Schizosaccharomyces pombe: one gene and its partners. Changing the gene in region 1 together with any one later gene gives a genetic interaction. Each region holds a gene or a part of one and is shown in the gene's direction. Other genes may lie near its edges.

Evidence for each region.
Region 2: of myo52 (region 1) and rng8, changing one enhances a phenotype caused by changing the other (phenotypic enhancement), as found in Schizosaccharomyces pombe (one study listed by BioGRID).
Region 3: of myo52 (region 1) and map3, changing one enhances a phenotype caused by changing the other (phenotypic enhancement), as found in Schizosaccharomyces pombe (one study listed by BioGRID).

What each region holds. Positions count from the first base shown.
Region 1 is NC_003421.2:2,223,286-2,231,983, reverse strand, and holds myo52 (myosin type V), read left to right. Parts: upstream 1-2,043; 5' UTR 2,044-2,252; coding exon 2,253-2,281; exon of another isoform or gene 2,282-2,340; coding exon 2,341-2,449; exon of another isoform or gene 2,450-2,458; intron 2,459-2,523; coding exon 2,524-6,936; 3' UTR 6,937-7,102; downstream 7,103-8,698. Other genes in the region: BAR adaptor protein Mug137, read right to left, coding at 1-14, 122-131, 198-223; tif6 (translation initiation factor-like ribosome biogenesis protein), read right to left, coding at 7,727-8,354, 8,670-8,698. UniProt on the Schizosaccharomyces pombe protein: Involved in cell wall deposition where it has a role in the localization of mok1.
Region 2 is NC_003424.3:3,852,500-3,857,587, reverse strand, and holds rng8 (protein Rng8), read left to right. Parts: upstream 1-2,671; 5' UTR 2,672-2,727; coding exon 2,728-2,788; exon of another isoform or gene 2,789-2,842; coding exon 2,843-3,819; 3' UTR 3,820-4,017; downstream 4,018-5,088. Other genes in the region: transcriptional regulator Pcc1, read right to left, coding at 4,164-4,398, 4,476-4,507.
Region 3 is NC_003424.3:2,832,102-2,837,833, reverse strand, and holds map3 (pheromone M-factor receptor Map3), read left to right. Parts: upstream 1-2,845; coding exon 2,846-3,943; coding exon of another isoform or gene 3,944-4,238; 3' UTR 4,239-4,304; coding exon of another isoform or gene 4,305-4,408; 3' UTR 4,409-4,603; downstream 4,604-5,732. Other genes in the region: vacuolar phytochelatin and glutathione S-conjugate ABC family transmembrane transporter Abc2, read left to right, coding at 1-566; his6 (1-(5-phosphoribosyl)-5-[(5-phosphoribosylamino)methylideneamino] imidazole-4-carboxamide isomerase), read right to left, coding at 3,860-4,238, 4,305-4,408, 4,665-4,735, 4,798-5,038; rRNA processing protein Faf1, read left to right, coding at 5,245-5,732.

The sequences.
Region 1 (8,698 bases):
TGGTCTCCCAATGGCTAATAAGGTCAGTAATACAATTCCTTTCTTTTCGTTCGTTGTTTTGAGTATTTTGAACAAACACTACATCGGCTCAGTTTCACTCGCCATGGAAAGGTATACTCACTTTTTCGTTTCTAAAAAAAAGGGGTCAATAATCTTCATAATCTGCGTAACCTTTCTCCTTCTTAATATTTCCTTACGTCCAAGAAAAAAATCTAGACACCATTTTGATGGTTCATCGACCATACGCATGCGTTGTGCTCAAAAGTCTTTACAATTAAGCATAAACGATACTTATAGAAAAGATAATTTACTTCTTTGCTTACTAAATCACTTCAGCCGTGTGTGTTAAAGGATCAATATCTCTACCGAGAAGGTTCTTATATAAGCGATGTTTGTTTGTTTGTTTACCCAAAATTTTGGAAGCGGAGGGGATGCGTTTATTATGATGTTGAACGTAATGAAATACATATTTTTTTTTCTTAAGTGTGTTAAAAATAATTGATTTGAGGGAAGCTGTTGTTACGTCGAAGGTTTATCATTTTTTTGTTTGTAATTGAGACGTTCTAAAAGTATTGAGTAACTTGATTCCTTATAAATTTTATTAACTAAGTTACCTTATTTGGTTTTTCATAATTAGTTTGGCCTAAAAATATGTAAATGCATTTATAATTCTTCTTTTCTCTTTTGGGTTTATGCTGCAGACTATACATTTTCCAAAACATCTTCTCATCTCGAAGAAACATGTCTTTTATAGACTTTTTACTTTTGTAATTCTTTTTTAATCGAAATCATAGCCCAATTAATTAATATTTAGTATTGATGCTCCATTTTGAGAGTAATCATCTTCTGAGTTTCTTTGAAGAGAAAACAGAAACATATACTATCTAAATCGAATTTGTCTTTGAGTCAAAGCGTTAGATTATTAGTTGCTTTTTTTATGAAAATATCCCTGTTTCCAAACGGTTTTAGTAAATCATTCTCGTACAAGAATATATAACGAGAGCACGAAATTATCTATCAAAACGAAAGAATTATGATATATATAATATTCTGTTTTTTTTATCTGATGTTTTACTGTTAGAAATCCATTGTGTTGCTCAAACCGTTGATTTTGAATGGTATTATTTACATGTTTGTACCATCTTACCTCCTCTTTTACTAGTAATTCTAAGCCGCACTAGTTTGCCTTATTTAGCATACTGTTTTCTGATAAAAATCGTAGCTAGCTCGGTATTAGTTATTAATATCAGCAATGCAGTTCGATAATATGCCAGTAAAACTGCACTACGCTATCATACATTACGTCGAGTGTCACTATATGTCACATGTTCTACTTGTCATCGTACCATAGATGATACGATATTGAAATTGATCTTAATGATGTTCGATAAAGATTCTTGCTATTAGAATACTATAAAAGATAGCTACTACTGAACTGAGGAAAGAGGTTCAGCAATAAGCTACATTTGTGATAGATAACAATATACCCTTTATATTATAATACCTATACTTGATTGTTACTTTTATAACCTATGTATTACAATATTATAGGTCGCAAGGAAAGCTCACCGCATTACTACGTATCGTTAAAATAATTACAAAATTGCATAGTAAACAGACAACTGTTTTTAAATACGATGAAGTAGTTGAGTTTCTATTGCAATTTTTTATAATCTTATGTATGTTTACTACGATTGGTAATAAATATTCTTACGCTCAACTTAACATTATTTAATATTATAATAACTTATATACTTGATAATTGAAATAACAATTATAGTAATTCTGAAGCAAAAAACTAACTCACTAGCCGTATTGAAATGTGAAATGTTAATTGTACTTTTCAACAAAGCCAACCTTGAAAGTTAAAAACATAATAAATAGTGATAGTTAACATATCATAACATAGCGTGATTTCTTAATGGTAAAAGTTTGATTCTTATTTGAGGTTTTATGAACTTTAGTGAAACCACTATGCGCTTTTATCAAATTGCATAATTCGCTTTTCATATTACTTTGTCTCAGCGAAGTCATCTCCATATTAACATCAGCAGAGAACGAGTATTTTCCATAAGTAAAGAAGAAAGTTTTGAAATAACGTAAACGCGTTAGTAAACTTTTTTTCTATTAGTTTTAGCATTTGCATATTGTTTTGCGACATTTTTTGAGCAAACATCTATTTTTGTGTGTAAACAAAACGCTGTGTTTAGTTTAAATTAGGCGTTCGGGGAGTCTTGTAATTTCTACCGGTCATGACATCGGGGATTTATTACAAGGGACTGTAAGTTTATTAGAATCGTCTTTAAAGGATCCTGCTAATGTTGTTGTTGCGAAATGTAGTCAATGCTGGATTCCAGATGAGCAAAGCCAATGGATCCCTGGAAGCATAAAGGATTGTCGAGTTGAAGGTGAGAAAGCTTTCTTAACGGTACAAGATGAAAACGAAAACGTACGAAAATTATTATTTTCTTTGGTATCCCTTTTGGGTCAATTGAGATTAATTAGCTAATGTGATCTTGTTAGGAAACTGTTATTACAGTGAAGCCAGACGATTTAAATTATGAAGGAAGAAACGGCCTCCCGTTTCTTCGATCCATTAACTCGGATGCTGATGACCTTACTGATCTTTCATACCTAAATGAGCCGTCAGTGTTGGATGCTTTGTCAACAAGGTACAACCAACTTCAAATTTATACGTATTCTGGCATTGTCCTTATCGCAGTAAATCCTTTTCAGAGACTGCCAAATTTGTACACTCACGAAATAGTACGTGCTTATTCGGAGAAATCTCGGGATGAGCTAGATCCCCATCTCTATGCTATTGCTGAAGATAGCTACAAGTGCATGAATCAAGAGCATAAAAATCAAACTATTATTATATCTGGTGAGTCAGGAGCAGGAAAAACTGTTTCCGCAAGATACATAATGCGGTATTTTGCTTCTGTGCAAGCACTTATTCAATCCACCGATTCCAATTTTCATGAAGCTCCACAATTAACTGCTGTCGAGAATGAGATACTTGCTACAAATCCGATTATGGAGGCTTTTGGTAATTCTAAAACTTCTAGAAATGACAATTCTTCTCGCTTTGGTAAATATATTCAAATTTTGTTCGACGGAAATGCTACAATCATTGGTGCTAAAATTCAAACTTATCTTTTAGAAAGATCAAGATTAGTATTTCAGCCTAATCAAGAAAGAAATTATCATATTTTCTATCAGATTTTAGCTGGTTCATCCTCGGAACAACTTGAAAAGTGGAAACTTGTTGAGAATTCTCAAGAATTTAATTATTTAAAACAGGGAAATTGTTCTACAATTGAGGGCGTCAATGATAAAGAGGAATTTAAAGCTACAGTTGATGCATTAAAAACAGTTGGCATTGATAATGATACATGTGAATGCATATTTAGCTTATTAGCTGCATTGCTGCATATCGGTAACATAGAGGTTAAGCATTCAAGGAATGATGCATACATTGATTCAAAAAACGAAAATCTGATAAACGCTACTTCATTGTTGGGCGTGGATCCTTCTTCATTGGTGAAATGGTTAACGAAGCGTAAAATAAAGATGGCCTCTGAAGGTATTTTGAAACCATTGAACGAATTTCAAGCTGTAGTAGCTAGAGACTCAGTAGCGAAATTCCTTTACGCTTCACTCTTCGACTGGCTGGTAGCTACTATTAATAAAGCCTTGATGTACTCAGCTGATAAATCGAACCAGACGGCTAAAAGTTTTATTGGTGTTCTAGATATTTATGGGTTCGAGCACTTTAAAAAAAATTCATTTGAACAGTTTTGCATCAATTATGCGAACGAAAAACTTCAACAGGAATTTTATCGCCATGTTTTCAAACTGGAACAGGAGGAGTATGCTGCTGAGGGACTTAACTGGTCCTATATTGATTATCAAGACAATCAGCAATGTATTAGCATGATTGAGAGTCGTTTAGGGATTCTTTCCCTTTTAGACGAAGAATGCCGAATGCCCACGAACAGCGATGAAAATTGGGTTAGTAAGTTGAACGATGCATTCTCCAAGCCAGAATTCAAAAATAGTTATCAGAAATCAAGGTTTGGTAACAAGGAGTTTACAATTAAGCATTATGCTCTTGACGTTGTTTACTGTGCCGAAGGATTTATTGATAAAAACCGTGATACAATATCCGATGAGTTGTTGGAGCTTTTTACAAATTCAGACGTTCCCTTTGTCAAGGATCTGGTTTTATTCCGTCTTGAACAAACTGCACCCCCAGCCGATACCAAAAAAATAAAAACCAAGCCAAAAAGTAATACTCTTGGTTCAATGTTTAAAAGCTCTTTGGTTAGTCTAATGAGTACCATCAACGAAACTAATGCTCATTATATTCGTTGTATCAAGCCAAATGAAGAGAAAGAAGCCTGGAAATTTGATAACCAAATGGTGGTTTCTCAGTTACGAGCATGCGGTGTTTTAGAAACTATAAAAATATCTTGTGCTGGTTTTCCCTCCCGTTGGACTTTTGATGAGTTTGTTTCTCGTTATTACATGTTGGTTCCCTCTGCCGTAAGAACTACGGAGTCTTTGACCTTTAGCAAGGCAATTTTAGAGAAACATGCTGATCCGACTAAATATCAAATTGGCAAAACTAAAATATTTTTTCGTTCAGGTGTGACGCCCCTTTTAGAGAGTGCGAGAGACAAAGCTTTGAAACATGCAGCACATCTTTTGTATGAAGCGTTTGCTGTTAATTACTATAGGACTCGTTTTCTTCTGTCTCGGAAGAGAGTCAGGAGCTTTCAAGCCGTTGCTCATGGTTTCTTATCTCGTCGCCATACGGAGTACGAATTACTTTCTTCCAATATTATTAAACTTCAGTCACTTTGGAGAACTGCATTAAAGAGAAAAGAATTCATACAAACGAAAAATTCTATACTTAAAGTGCAAAGTATAATTAGAGGCTTTTTATTAAGACAGACTTTAGAGGAAAAGACAAAGCATGATGCAACATTAATTATTCAAAGTCTTTGGTTAACATTTAAAGCCCATAAGCACTACAAAGAACTACAATATTATGCAGTTCGTATCCAGTCTCTTTGGAGGATGAAACTTGCAAAGCGACAATTGACAGAATTAAAAATTGAATCCACTAAAGCGAGTCACCTTAAGCAAGTATCTTACAGGCTTGAAAGCAGATTGTTTGAGATTTCAAAACAGTTGGACAACTCGGAGCAGGAAAATAACAAGTTCAGGGAAAGAATCGCTGAATTGGAGTCTCATCTGTCCAACTATGCTGAAGCAAAGTTAGCACAAGAAAGAGAACTTGAGCAAACTAGGGTACTTATATCGGATCAATCTCAAGATGGGGAATTAAAGGAGTTACTTGAAGAGAAAGAAAACGCTTTGATTATGATGGAAGAGGAGATGAGGCAAGTCAACGATGCGAATACCGAACTTTTAAGAGTAAATGCAACTTTGAAGTCGCAGCTTAAAAATTACGATATGATTATTGTTGAGCAAACCTCTCAGTTGAAAGAGAAAAACAGGATAATTGCTAGTCTGACAAAAGCCACTAAAATACTGAATTCGGCCTCTAGTATCGAACAGTCGCGCAATTCGGAAGAGAAATCACGTCGTGATAGTTCATTGATGGAAATGCGTACTCAAAAAGAGATGCTTGTGCTATTAATGAACGATGGCTTGAAGCACGATCTTGACAAACTCACAGAATATGCAGGTAGAACATTTACAACTCTTAAAACTCTATTACTAAAGGACAACGATGTTGAGGCTCAGAAACTTGATCATTTGTTTTTAGCAAAACTACTTTTTATAATAATATCACAAATGTGGAAATCAAATCTGTGTCAGGAAAGTGTTGCCTTGGTTGAGCGTTACTGTGTCCACACTTTAGAATACGTATTTCAAAAGACATCATCTGCTAATGAGAGACCTGACATCGGATTTTGGGTTGCAAATACACATGCGCTCTTGGCTTTTGTTTATACTAAGCAGCAGGCGTTTAAACATTCCTCGGCTTTCACTCTTTTATCCACCGAATCTCATGAATCAGTGCAAACCATTTTTGAGATGATTGAATCACATCTGTCAAAAATCTTTTTCGAATGGGTTAGGCAAGTCAATAATTTTTTAAAGCCATTGATTGTTCAGGCAATGATTATTACTGGTACAAATACGGATGCTGGAGATGAGAATCGAAAACTACGGATTAAATTTTTTGAGAAACCAAAATACAAAATCACCGATGTAATACATGTACTAAATAAGGTGCATGATTCTTGTCAGGCCTATAAAGTTAATTATGAAATATATAATGCATTGATTAGAAGCATATATCGATTCATTAATGTGGAGGCATTCAATTCACTTTTTATTGATGAACGTGGATCTTGGAAACGTGGTACCAATATTTCATACAATTATCATGTTCTTAAGGATTGGTGTCTAGAAAGTGGTGTTCCGGAAGCTTATTTGCAGCTCGAAGAGCTTTTACAAACCTCCAAGATACTACAATTTGTGAAAGATGATCCAAATTATGTGGCCAGGGTCCGCGACTTTTATGCTCTTAATTTTCTGCAAATAAAAACACTCTTACATCGTTATGACTATGCTGACTACGAGGCTCATGTACCGAAAAAAACTATGTCTGAATTGTCCAAAAATATTGTTGCTGAAGGCATCAATCAAAGGGAACAACTTACTTACGAAGTGTTGGATTATAGACTACAAGATAGTTTTGAGGAATCTCCATCTCTTGAAAAAATAAAGATACCAGATGATTGTAATGTTACCTATTTGCGTCGTATCATCGACCTTGCTAGTGCAGAAGAAAGTGTTGAGCAAGCTTTGATCACTGTAGGCAACGTAGCCGACAATGATGTACAGAACTCGAGCGACGAAGAAAATCAAGTACCAAATGGTATTAAAGTTTAATATCTAGTTATTTTTCAAGGTGCTCTGCCTACTTATTTATTCCCTAATTAGGGGTTTTACTTTCAAAATTTGGAGCTGGGCCTTAGTTTCCGTGGAAGTTTTAATCAAAACATCCTGATAATGACAATCTTTTACGAGTTTTATTTACTGCTAAATATAAATATCTATGAGTATTGTAGTCTATTCTACTTCCCCACTTTGTATAGTTACTTGGTAACTTAATTTATTCTTAAATATTTATTTCGCTTGCGGAGTACGCATTGGTTTCAGTCAAAAAATACCTACATCGAAATACTTTCCATAACTAGTTTGTCACCAAAGACTGAAAAGAAAGTATATTTATTAGATCATTTTTAATATAAAGGCTGCAAACTACTTAATAAAACACGTAAATTGAAGTACGAAGTCTCATGCAGCGTTAGCAAGAAGCTCTACTCTATAAGCGAGAATAGCTTAACAAATCCGAATGTGTTAAGAACAGACAAAAAGCAAAGCAATAAAAGCATTTTCAAAATCTATTTGACATAATAAAAATAAACACGATTACGGAAGTCCCTTAAGTGTTATAATGGTCTATAAAAAACTTGTATTGTAAATTTCTACAATAGGAAGCTTGGGTACCACAATGGATAGGACTATTAAACCGAAAGGCATATCAAAAATTTTATAACCAGATACATACGTATAACGTATCAACATTAAAACTTTAATAGGAAAATATCACGTAGGATGAATTATCCAAACTCATAAATCCTGATCAATAATTTTTTAGTTAGCTCACACCGACTGCTTATGTATAAGACTCAACAAGAGTGTCTCTGTTGCTTATAATAGCAGAAGGTTGAGCATCTTGAAGTTTAAATATAGATTCACAGACAGCCAATTCAGTAGCCGTAGTATCAAGTCCAGCAAACGCACACCAGTCGTTCACAACTAGACCAGCACCGATAACATCGGAACCACGGTTGATGGTACCGGCAACAAGAGGAACTTGAAGAAGTGATGACAATTCATCCTGTTCCTGAATGCTAGTACGAGGGTGAACCAAAGCACCTTGATTGCTCAATGCACAATACGAACCGGTTAAAACATTGCCTGCAACGGTTTGACGGAAAACTTCAACATCTAAGACATCAGCAATAATTTCCTCGGTTTCACGCTCAATATCAGGATGAACAAGGGCCACATAGTCGTTGCAAGCCACAATGTTTCCTAGAGCTGAAAGTCGTTCATCAACACGTTGGATTTTGACAGGATCTGGAAGAGAATTGCGGAGGTGCTGTAGTTCATTATCGGTGGTAGAAGAGGGAACTAACAGACCTTTTCTATTACCACATGTCAAACGACCAATGATTCTGGTTCCTCCAATTGTGGTATGAACAACGGGTACAACATCACCTAACTCTGCCTCGAACACGCTGTTATAAAAGTTAGTGAAAAGTTGATAAATGTAAAAAATGCCAAAAAAAATAATTTGTCGAGCTGCATCGAGTCAAGGAATAATAAAGGTAATGAACAGCAAACCGCCAGAGTTTAAGTAGTGGTTTGCATTTATGTAGCAAAGTCTCTTTTACTCAATTAAAGAGTAGTTAGGCTACATCATTCACATATGTGCTATTTATTTTTCTCATAATACGTTCGACTGGTTAAGGATTTTAAGAACCTTTAAAAAAATTTTGAATCGTTTACATTTAGAACATTAAATTTTGGCATCAAATAAACGTTAAGCTTACCTGTAGAAGTTTTCAGAGCCTCCAAGCGC
Region 2 (5,088 bases), on another chromosome or scaffold:
ATTTAGCTGTAACTTGTCTAGATACAATTGTTTCTCTGTACGCAGTAGATAATGAAGAAGTTAAAAAAGACGTTATATCTTGTTCTTGCACAATCTACCCACTAGTATTTCTGCACTGTTGTACTTCACCTAACGATTCATCTACCTGGGACACTTTAACGAAGCTAAAAAACGAAATCATTAATGACTTTGACAAAGGGAACAAGCCTCTTTTAATTTCTTGTATTAAATTTATTTCTTGTGTAATTTTAACGCAAGTGCCTGGGATTCGAGATCCCCGTCTTGTAACTAAATCGGACGTGTCTCTTTCTAAGGTTCCCACACATCATCCTTTTATCAATTCAAATATCCTCAGAATAGAAGCAAATGACTTAATTGAAAAAATATTTTCCATCCTTTTCTCGGATTCTTTGAATGTCCTTTACATTACTAGCGTTTTGAATATCTTACCGGTTTTGGTGAAGCGACGGAAGGAACTAGCACCAAAAATCATAGGAAGCTTGTTAGAATTTCATCTTCCGAATCCAAAAGATGAAATTGAGCTGTCGAACGAAAGCAAGTTAGCTATACGGTGTATTGAAAAAAATCTAAAACTTATTTTACTTCATTTAGCTAAGAGTACAGGTGCATCTTCTTCTTCCGTCGAAAAAATTCACGCTTATCTTTCCGGACAAATTTATCATACCAAAGTCGATGAAAGTTTGAAGAAACGGCAATATGAGGGAAATATTAGTGCTGCCTCTAAGCGTGTTAAGTCTTCTGCTGTACAAAGTCTTGTAGAAAGAATGCAACCCCAACTTAGCTCTCACGATGGTTTGCAAAATAATCCCTTAATCAGCATATTTGCTTCACAAACTGCTATAAATCCTCTTGCAAATTTTGATGTAACTTCAATTCCGGTTGAAGTGGCTACTGAAATTGTACTTACTTCTCTTCTTAAGATAGACAAAAACTACTTTCATCAGCAAATTAATATGTTGAGAGAGAGAGTGCGCTCTCTCTCTGAGCCTGAATCCCTTGGTCTTGATCAACAAGTTGATGAAGACGAGGACGAGGATTATGAACCGCCTGAGGTAGATGTTCAGACTATCAATGCTAGTGTAGAACGTGAAGCAGCTCGACTAGAGGGAAGTGCTCCCTCCAATGTCGTTACTGATGCGTTTGAATTACCCACTCCAGATTCGCTGTCCCCGATGGCTATTCTAGAATACTTTCACGGTGCCTTATCCAGATTATTTGATTATGCTCCTCAATTTGAAAGAAGCATAGTTTCTTCTTCTAACCTTCAAAATTTAACGTTGGAAAATGTGGATAATACGGTATGGGATAAGCGTCACTGGGCAATTCTCTTACCACGACTTTGTACGCGAGGCTTATTGAATTATCAGCCTGTAACGTCTGGTGAGGAATCTGGAGATGCTTCTTTCACTTTGTCTTCATTTGTTCGAGGGCAGCTTTTTACTTACGTTGCATCTAACTGGCGTTCCAGTACAAATTTAATATTGAACTGGTTATCCGAGGAATGGTATAATGATCGACTAATGCTTGAAAATCCGGATTGTCATGAATATGAGGATGTTAAGTGGGAAGGTCCACAATATGAAAAATGGGCCCTTAAAGTAATAGACAGCATTTTACCATACTTAGAGGCAAAAGATAAAGTTTTTATGATATTTATGTCTGAATTGCCAGAACTCACCGATGCTATAGTTGACAAAATTAAATTTGTATGTCTTGATCCCGATAAGACGAAGCTCGGTTTCATGACTTTTCAGTATTTAATAATGTTTCGACTAACCTGTACGTGAAAAATGCCTTGATATTCTTGAGACGATGTGGAAAGAGAATGTAGATGTTAAAGCTTCCGCCGCAAAGCTTTTGAATCGTTGGCGACCGTCGTTTTTGGAGTCTGTGAAATCAGAGGAAACGAAAGAGCCTTCCGCTACAGATAACACTTCCTAGAAAGCTTGTTTTTCCTGGGTCGCAGTGGGATTTCATTGGAAAGCCAAGGAGAAATAAAAGCTAAATGTTTAATGCACCATCTTTTGATAAAATAAAGTTCTGTTCATACCTAGACAGAAAAAATGTATCTGTGGCTAATCACCACTCTGTTTATTGGAGTTTTTTGGTATATATGCAAAATCTGTTCATATACTTCATTTAATCCTGCATTGGAAATGAGAGTAATCTTTCAATATTTCTTAACATACTTTACATTCATATTTATCTAGCCAGCATTTAGCCCTCTGCTATTTATGTAATGCTGTTACTTATAGCAAACGTTTATAAAAACTAAGTCTGTATAAAGCATAAATGAGCCCTTAATTTTTGGCGCACTAAAATTTAACTATTTATTATACAAATCTCAATTTTCATCGATGATAGAATGGCATATTTTATTATTAAAATAAACCATGGTCTTCTAAGAGTGGGATGTAAACTAAAGAGAAAGACTTGTTAAAAGTAAATTTTTGTGTCTATACACATAATGTAGAATAATAATCATTTGTTCCATAATTCCATAATTATACTATTTTCTTCAAATCTTGGCATTCATCTAAATGATTGATACACCCTCTTAAACCGTTTATCGAGTCCAACTGAGACTTACCGTGCAATAAATGAATGCTTTAGGACAATGAATGAAAAATAAGGATGCAACTTATCCTTTGCAATGAAGCAAGTCTAATTCATATTTATTTCTCTTTCTTTTATTTAATGTAAAAAATGGGTTTAGAGGGATCCGAAAAATTAGAACATGAAATCGAGCAAGTTCATGATAATATTGGTAAGAGAAATAAGTAAATAATAGTTCAAGCAAACGCTAATATAGCGATCCCAGAAAATAGAAAGGAAGAAGTTTCGACGCTCCAAGATATGGCAAATGATTTAGAAAAATTGACAGATCATATTGAGGCAACGTATATTGGTAGAGGAGTACCTCATGACCATGCAAAAACAGGATCTAGAAAACCGTCTTCTGGTCAATTGATTGCTACTATGCAAAACGAAATCGACAGACTAAAGAAAGAAGGAGACAAGGTTTCTATTTTACTTATGCAAGAGCGAAAGAAAAGGAAGGAGCTGGAGTCAGCGAAGAATAACTTGCTAAATGTTTATGATTCTCTTAAAATGCAAAAGGCGTCTGTTTCCAGTATGGTAAATCGGAAACAGCGGGCAGCTAAAGAAGAACAAAAAATCCAAGAAGAATTCGAAAGACAAATAACCGACCTATTGGAAGAGCAGCAGCAATTAAAGCTAGAGATTGAAAGATTGGAAGCTGAAACGGAGCGGGCGAATTCTGAGACCGAACAGTACGAAAAGCAAAAAGAAGCTTTAGAAGAAGAGTATGAAGAGCTCAGGAATGAATGCTTGAAGCATGACCCTCAGTTGGATGCTGAAATAAGGACATTACAAGACACATTTGAAGAAGTGGAAAGGACTTTGACAAAACAGGTGTCTGATGCTAAGATTGCTGATAAACCACTAAAAGATTCAATGTTCAATAGCAATAGTGAAAAGGAGAAAATTATGCATGCACTCGAGAAGGCTGAAAAGGATGCTGATATCTATTCCGAGTTCATCCAACAGTACATGGAACAGCTGGAAAGCTCGTTAGAAAAAAGTAGCACAGCCATAGAGAACGCACAAAATCGTTTAGCCGAAATGACTGCCCACCTTGCTGAGAGCAGTGATTATGACAATGATGACGATACCGACGGTATTATTAATGAAACTGATTATGAATTGGATACCAGCCAGAGTGAGTTTGCTACTCTCACCACTAGCTCTAACAAATCTATCCTGAATGAGAGCTAAAAGCGTTATTATTTTTTTTGGTGAAGCTTCAGGTGCTGGTAATATTTATACTATCTTTTAAGCCATGAACAGATATTTGGTCACTTTTAATTGTAAATTAGTTTAGTTTAAAAGGTATATAGCAAGGAGAATCAATTATATCAAGATACAGCAGAAATAATATAGAACTTGAAAAACTAGTAAAAAGAAAGGGAGGGGGCAGAAATCATTATTTATTTTATTTTTTTGCTTAGACAATAAATACTCTTCAGTCATTGTTCGACATAAAAATAACTTGTGTTACTGTAATAGAAGGATCGCATTTTTCTTATAAAATAAGATTCATCTTTAGAAGCACAGCTTTATCATAATGAGCTCAATTCATGCATAGTGTCAATGATTAAATAAAGGTTCTCAAACAAGGAATTTACAGTTACTCTTGTCATCCTCGCTGAAGAGCAAGAATAGTTCACAACCAAATAGTTGTCGTCAACAAAAAGATTTCTTTGCACTAGTTCCTCTTTCAACTCACGATCTGGAGCTAACACTTGCAAACATCGTTCAGCGTCCACTCGACTGGCTAAAGGAACTTTCACAGTTCTACATATTACAGGTATTAGCAAATCATTTATAAATATAATTAAGGGAAGCTGAATGAACGACAAATAGCTACTTACACTTTATGAGGAAGCACGATCATTTCTGACATTTTAATAGGGAAATCGTATTCTAGGACTCCAAACTTTTTTAAAAAATCGAAAAATAGATTAACACTTCTTCGCAATCCCGATCAATTAAATATTCATTAAGCACAAAGTCAATAAAGCCACGTTTATGCAAGTAGTGGTAGAATGCTTTGTAAGACCAATGAATGTAATTTTGTCTACTGAGGTGGTACTAAGCCATATAGCTATTAAAGAACCTTACTTAGATTATATTTGCAATAACATATAATCTTTTAAATGAATACGAAATTCCCTTTTAAATATTAACATCATTATATTAAAACAAGGAAGTTTTATAGGTATATAGTACATATTGAACCGATATATCTTTTTATAGAATATAATTGAAGAGTTAAGGATTATACCGCTTATAGTAGAATAGAAATAGACCAGGAAAAAGCTTACAAATTAAACCTTTATTGGCTTATGCCATTTGTTCTAAATAAAAGGCTCTTTCTTAGCATGCACTTCATCAAAAGTATAAATTAGGTAAAGCATAAAAAAACTGATTGTTATCTTCAAGTTAGCTGTTGTGCTATGTCAATTTAGTTGCATAATACATAAT
Region 3 (5,732 bases), on another chromosome or scaffold:
AGCCAACATCAGGAGACATACAATTGGATGATATCAATATTACTTCGATTGGATTACACGATTTACGCTCCAGACTTGCTATTATCCCACAAGAAAATCAAGCTTTCGAAGGTACAATTCGTGAGAATCTCGATCCTAATGCTAATGCTACCGATGAAGAGATTTGGCATGCTCTCGAAGCTGCTTCCTTAAAACAATTCATCCAGACTCTTGACGGCGGGTTGTATTCCCGTGTTACAGAAGGAGGAGCCAATCTTTCGTCAGGCCAACGCCAGCTGATGTGCTTGACAAGGGCATTATTGACACCCACACGCGTATTATTATTAGATGAAGCTACTGCAGCTGTTGATGTTGAAACAGATGCTATTGTGCAACGCACAATTCGTGAACGCTTTAACGATCGTACCATTTTGACCATTGCTCACCGTATTAATACTGTGATGGATTCGAATCGTATATTAGTATTGGATCATGGTAAGGTAGTCGAATTTGATTCAACGAAAAAGCTGCTGGAAAATAAAGCATCTTTGTTTTATTCCCTCGCAAAAGAGAGTGGACTTATTTGAGTTCACAGGTCGTTTGCTAATTTAAAATGCTTCTAATTAATTTTATGAAAATCCCGAAACTGTTATTCCTAAGCAAATTCTCATTTTGTTAGATTTACAAGTTACTGGTTTCTTGGTAATTTATATACTATTTTTTCTCAACTTGCTAAAAGACAATTTATCCGAATCATGTTATATTTTTTCTTCCCTTGTATTCAGCATATCTCTGTTTCGAAAAAAGCATGCACGCTGCTCACTTACAAGATAACCTTTTGTTGAAAAGGAAGATTTATTAACTATATATGATTGAAGATTTTTTCTTTTCAAAGGATATATAAGTTCTGCAAAGTTTCCTAAAAAAATCTTTCTTTTTTGTTTCTTACACCTTTTGACATTTATATTGGAGCCTAACGTTTTGCCGCTTTGATATCATTTATCCGTTGATTTTAGAAAAAAAAGTTAGGAAGAGTTGTTACCGATTTTTTCCTTCTTTTTATGCCAATATTCACTTCATCAGATTTAATTTGGCTACTTTTTTTTTCGTAACCTACTATAGTTATCTCATTATAGAATGAAATGAAACTCTATTATTATGTAGTTAAAATCAATGATAAGCACTGTATTAAAGTTTAAGAGAAAATCGCGAATTCCTTTTGATGTCCTTTTCTCAAAGGATACAAACACGATTTATAACACCTTTGCTTCAGACGTTTGATTGATATGCCTATTGTGATATACGAAACATCAGCATCAGGTTATAGCCGTGCAACATTTTCTGATAAATGATGAGGAAAACAGATGCTATTGTCTTGCTCATGTTGGTTCTCTGGGTTGAGATAATGAACATATTGGTATATAAAACTTGCACACGGATCAACGAGAATTGCTTACTTTTATTGCTCTTACATTTTATTGCTTTTATTTTATATAACATTGATTGCTCTCTTCTTTTCTTGTACTAAAAGAAATACAAACATACAAATATGGCTTACATGTTTTACTTCGCAGAATTATAATTAATTAAATACCCAAGTTATTCGTTAGCATGGTTGAGTATATTGTTTAATAATAGCGCTATTTAAGTCGTAACTTTATAGGATAAGTATTACCAGTACTAATACGTGTAAGAAGTTACCTAGTGCTATTGTTAACAAAATATAAGCTCGTTAATGTGAGTAACTTGTTTTATTTTCTACTTGAAATTTTTAACAAACAAACCAGTTAAAAAAAATTGATCTGGATCAATACTCCAGCTATTTGGAAAGAATTGACTTACGCGTAAATGTGTACGCGTTAATGTTTACTGATTTCGTTTTCGGGTTTAGAGAAGTAAAGGATGGAATTAGATTACAGGAAAGAGTATTTTTATAAATTATATATAAAGGAAGATATGACTAACGGCTAGTGTACCAATTCCATAATATACCGAGTGCAATTCAAACCAAACTCTCGTATATAGGCTGCGATTTATAAAGTAAAACTTCAGCGCATCAGCACAATTGTTCACGAGTACAAAATCTAAAAAGAAATTTTCTTTGCAATGCGCTCATCAATTAATATAAACGACCGCGATATATGAAGTCAAACAGTCGTTAAACACCAAAATTTCTTTACGTATTTACTTCGCAGATTACCCATCAAAAAGATATTCTATGGATTTATTAAAGATAAAGAATTCGCTTTTGATGCCTCAAATTGGAATACTATGCTTTAGATAATCAAATGGGCTGAACTCTTTGACCGACCGAAAATGGATCTCTATGCTGAGGCTTCTCACGGTAGGTATATAAAGAGCCTACTGCCCTTCTTCAATATGCCAAATAAATACAAACAAGGTTCTATACTCAACAGTAATTTTTCTTACTCATTTAATTACGAACCGTGCTCTGTTTTCGCAAGTTGTTTTCAAGTTTTCAAGCTTCGCGCGGGATATCTGGCGAGCGATCAAAGGTGTTTCCAATAGCTTTAACCTTTTCGTTTCCTGTCCTGTATTTTTAAATAATACATTTTCCGTGTCTATTACTTTTATTTTGGAACAATATTGAAGTTCAAATTGTACACGACTTTGGCAATCTTAGGAAAATCTTGGCATATACAATTCCAATTTTTGCTCTATCCAAATATCAAGACTACCATCATCACTGAATTTATACTCTTTTGTTTGCGCATCGTCTTTCGGCTTTCTTTTTCACCTTCTTTAATATTTTGAAATTCTATATAGGTCTTTGTGTACCATTTAATTTTTGTATCTTACTTTCTTTTATATCATATTTATTAGTTACTTATACGTTGAGTTTACCATGTTGCCTATTGGGATTTTCTATCAATTTTATGCTTACTTTGCCCTTGTTTTGTCTATCCCCATCTTATACATGCAGTTGCGTGCGAGAAACATTCCCTGCCTTTTGCTTTTATTTTGGTTAACCCTAACAACTCTCATCTACGTTGTCGAGTCTGCTATTTGGAGCAATCCCTACGCAGAAACAATTAGATGGATGGGTTATGGATTGTGTGATATTACATCTAGAATTGTCACATGTTCAAGTATTGGAATTCCTGCATCTGCCTTCACTTTGGTCCTGTATCTTGATACAGTCATTCGCAGAGACCACCCTCTCAAACGATATGAAAATTGGATTTGGCATGTATGCTTATCCATCCTGCTGCCATTGATTATCATGGCAATGATGGTTCCTTTGGAAAGTAACCGTTATGTGGTAATATGCATGAATGGATGCTACAGCTCTTTTTACCAAACGTGGTACACGCTTTTATTTTTTTACATCCCTCCATGCCTGTTGTCTTTTGGTGGCTTGTTCTTCGTTTCCCGAATCGTCGTGCTTTACTGGCGTCGACAAAGAGAACTGCAGCAATTTTTTCAGAGAGATTCTCAACTAACCTCAAAACGATTCTTACGCTTGCTATGTTTGGCAGCTGTATTTTTCCTCGGTTATTTTCCACTAACCATTTTCATGGTCGTAGCTAATGGAAAACTACAGCAGTTTTTACCATTCAACCATGAACTAGTAGAAGCCTGGCATCAGGAATCAATTACCTATTATCCTACAACTAAGGTTGGACTAAACGACTGGGTCCCTCCAACCGTTCTTTACCTCATGTCTTTGTTTTTCAGTACAAGTGGTGGTTGGACAGAAAAGGTTGCATTAATCCTTTGGTCTCTTTTGGTATGGCTTCCTTTTACCAAAAATACCGCGTTGGGTCGTCATGCACAATTCAAATTGGATTGCTGTAAGAGTATCGAATCAACTATGGCAGGAAAGACTTTGGATTCTACTGATTTTAAGGAAAAATGTTTAGTCTTGGAGAGGCAATGGAGTAAATCGTCGATTCCAAGCGACAACTCGAGTGAACTCCAAGACGCCGCCAAATATGTCTAAAGCACTTCCGATCGTTAAATCAACTTTTCCTTTACTCAATTTATCTACCAGATCCAAATCTTCTATACTGCGACCGCCTCCAGCGTAAGTGGTAGGAATTTTGACCCATTCTCCCAATTTAATTACCAAGTCCTCATCTATACCCTTACATAGACCTTCAACGTCTGCAGCGTGAATTAAAAACTCCGAACAATACTGAGACAGTAAATCTAAGTTTTCTTCATTTAGTTCAAAAGCAGTCATTACTTGCCATTTATTGATGGCAGCGAACCACCTATTATCTTTTCGACGACAACTGTAAGTTTTGTTATTAATAATACTCTTGGAAGTTTCCTCCTTTGCTCGCGAATTGGTTTCTTACCTCACATCCACAACCAAGCGGTCTTTTCCAATTTTTGAAGATATAGCCTTCAGTCTATCCAAATCAAACTGGGCATCTGGGAACAGCCAAGAAGTTACTATTACCTAGACAAAGTTAGGAACTTCACACTTTCATTTGATTGTTAATCATTTTACGCATCATTCTTTTTTTGTAACTTTACTAATGCCTTTGGAACACAACTCTTTTTATGAGCATGTATTTTTATGACCAGCTTTAGCTGCAATTTTTTAATCAATATTGCATACTCAGAAATGAATATACAAATAATCACATCCGAGATTGCTTAATGTAAAAGAAGATTAACGTTTAACATAGCATGTAAATTAATTTTAAATTTACCTTTGAGGCACCTTCTTGTAGCCAGTTTTGTGCATTAGAAATATTAATCCCCCCACCAATCTGAAGAGCACCTTCATTTGTAAGTTGTAAAATAATTAAAATTATTTATCCAAAAAAAAAATGCACGACATACCAGGCCATGTGTGCAAAGCCGTTTTAGCTGCTTCTTCGCAGTTCGGCCCAAGCATAATAACATGTGCTCCTTCGAGGTGATTCAATTTGTACAGTTCAGCATAATAACTGCTAGGTTTTAATGATACATAGTTAGTTTTCACGTCTGCGTCATTTCCTAATGTGCCTCCAACAATTTGTTTGACTTGACCTTGATGAATATCGATACATGGTCGAAACAAAGTGTGCTGCGATTTTTCCATATCTTCAAATTTCCCAATAACGTGCAAAACAAAAAAGAGAAGAAATGAAACAATCACAGAATTGCTATGTCTTATATAAAAAAATAGTTGAAGTGAGCAACTTTGAGACGTTACAGCACCAGTGAAGTAAGCTGTCAAATACAAACTCCACCATAAATTTTTATTTCATTCTTCCTATCACCTTCTTTATAATTTTGACAATAAACATGTCAGAGAATGCTTTATTAGCCTTACAGAGGCATTTTGAAGATCAATTTGGACACATCGAAGGATTACAACCTGTTTCAGCAAAGCCTTCTGAAACTGCTTTCAATTCGGATGCTTCAGAAAAAGAACAATCTCCAACTACCAGCAATGAGGAGGAAGACGCTATTTCAGATATGGAGGATAAAGAAGATGTGTCTTTTGGGTCCAAAATTCTACGAGTTTCCCATCAAGAAGTTGAGAAGCCAACTCTGTCAGCGACCGTAGGTCGTGTATCTTTTTTAAAAAAAATGCCCAAGTTAGAAGATGAAGAAGAAATTCTAGCAAAGAAGAGAGAAGAACAAAAATTGCGAAAACGATCTCGTCAAAATGATGATGGTTCAGATGATGATGAAGTCGAGAATCTAAAAAACGATTTAGAACTACAAAAACTTTTACGAGAATCTCATCTTTTACATGAGGCAACCTCAAGGACAGGTCAAGTTCAGTT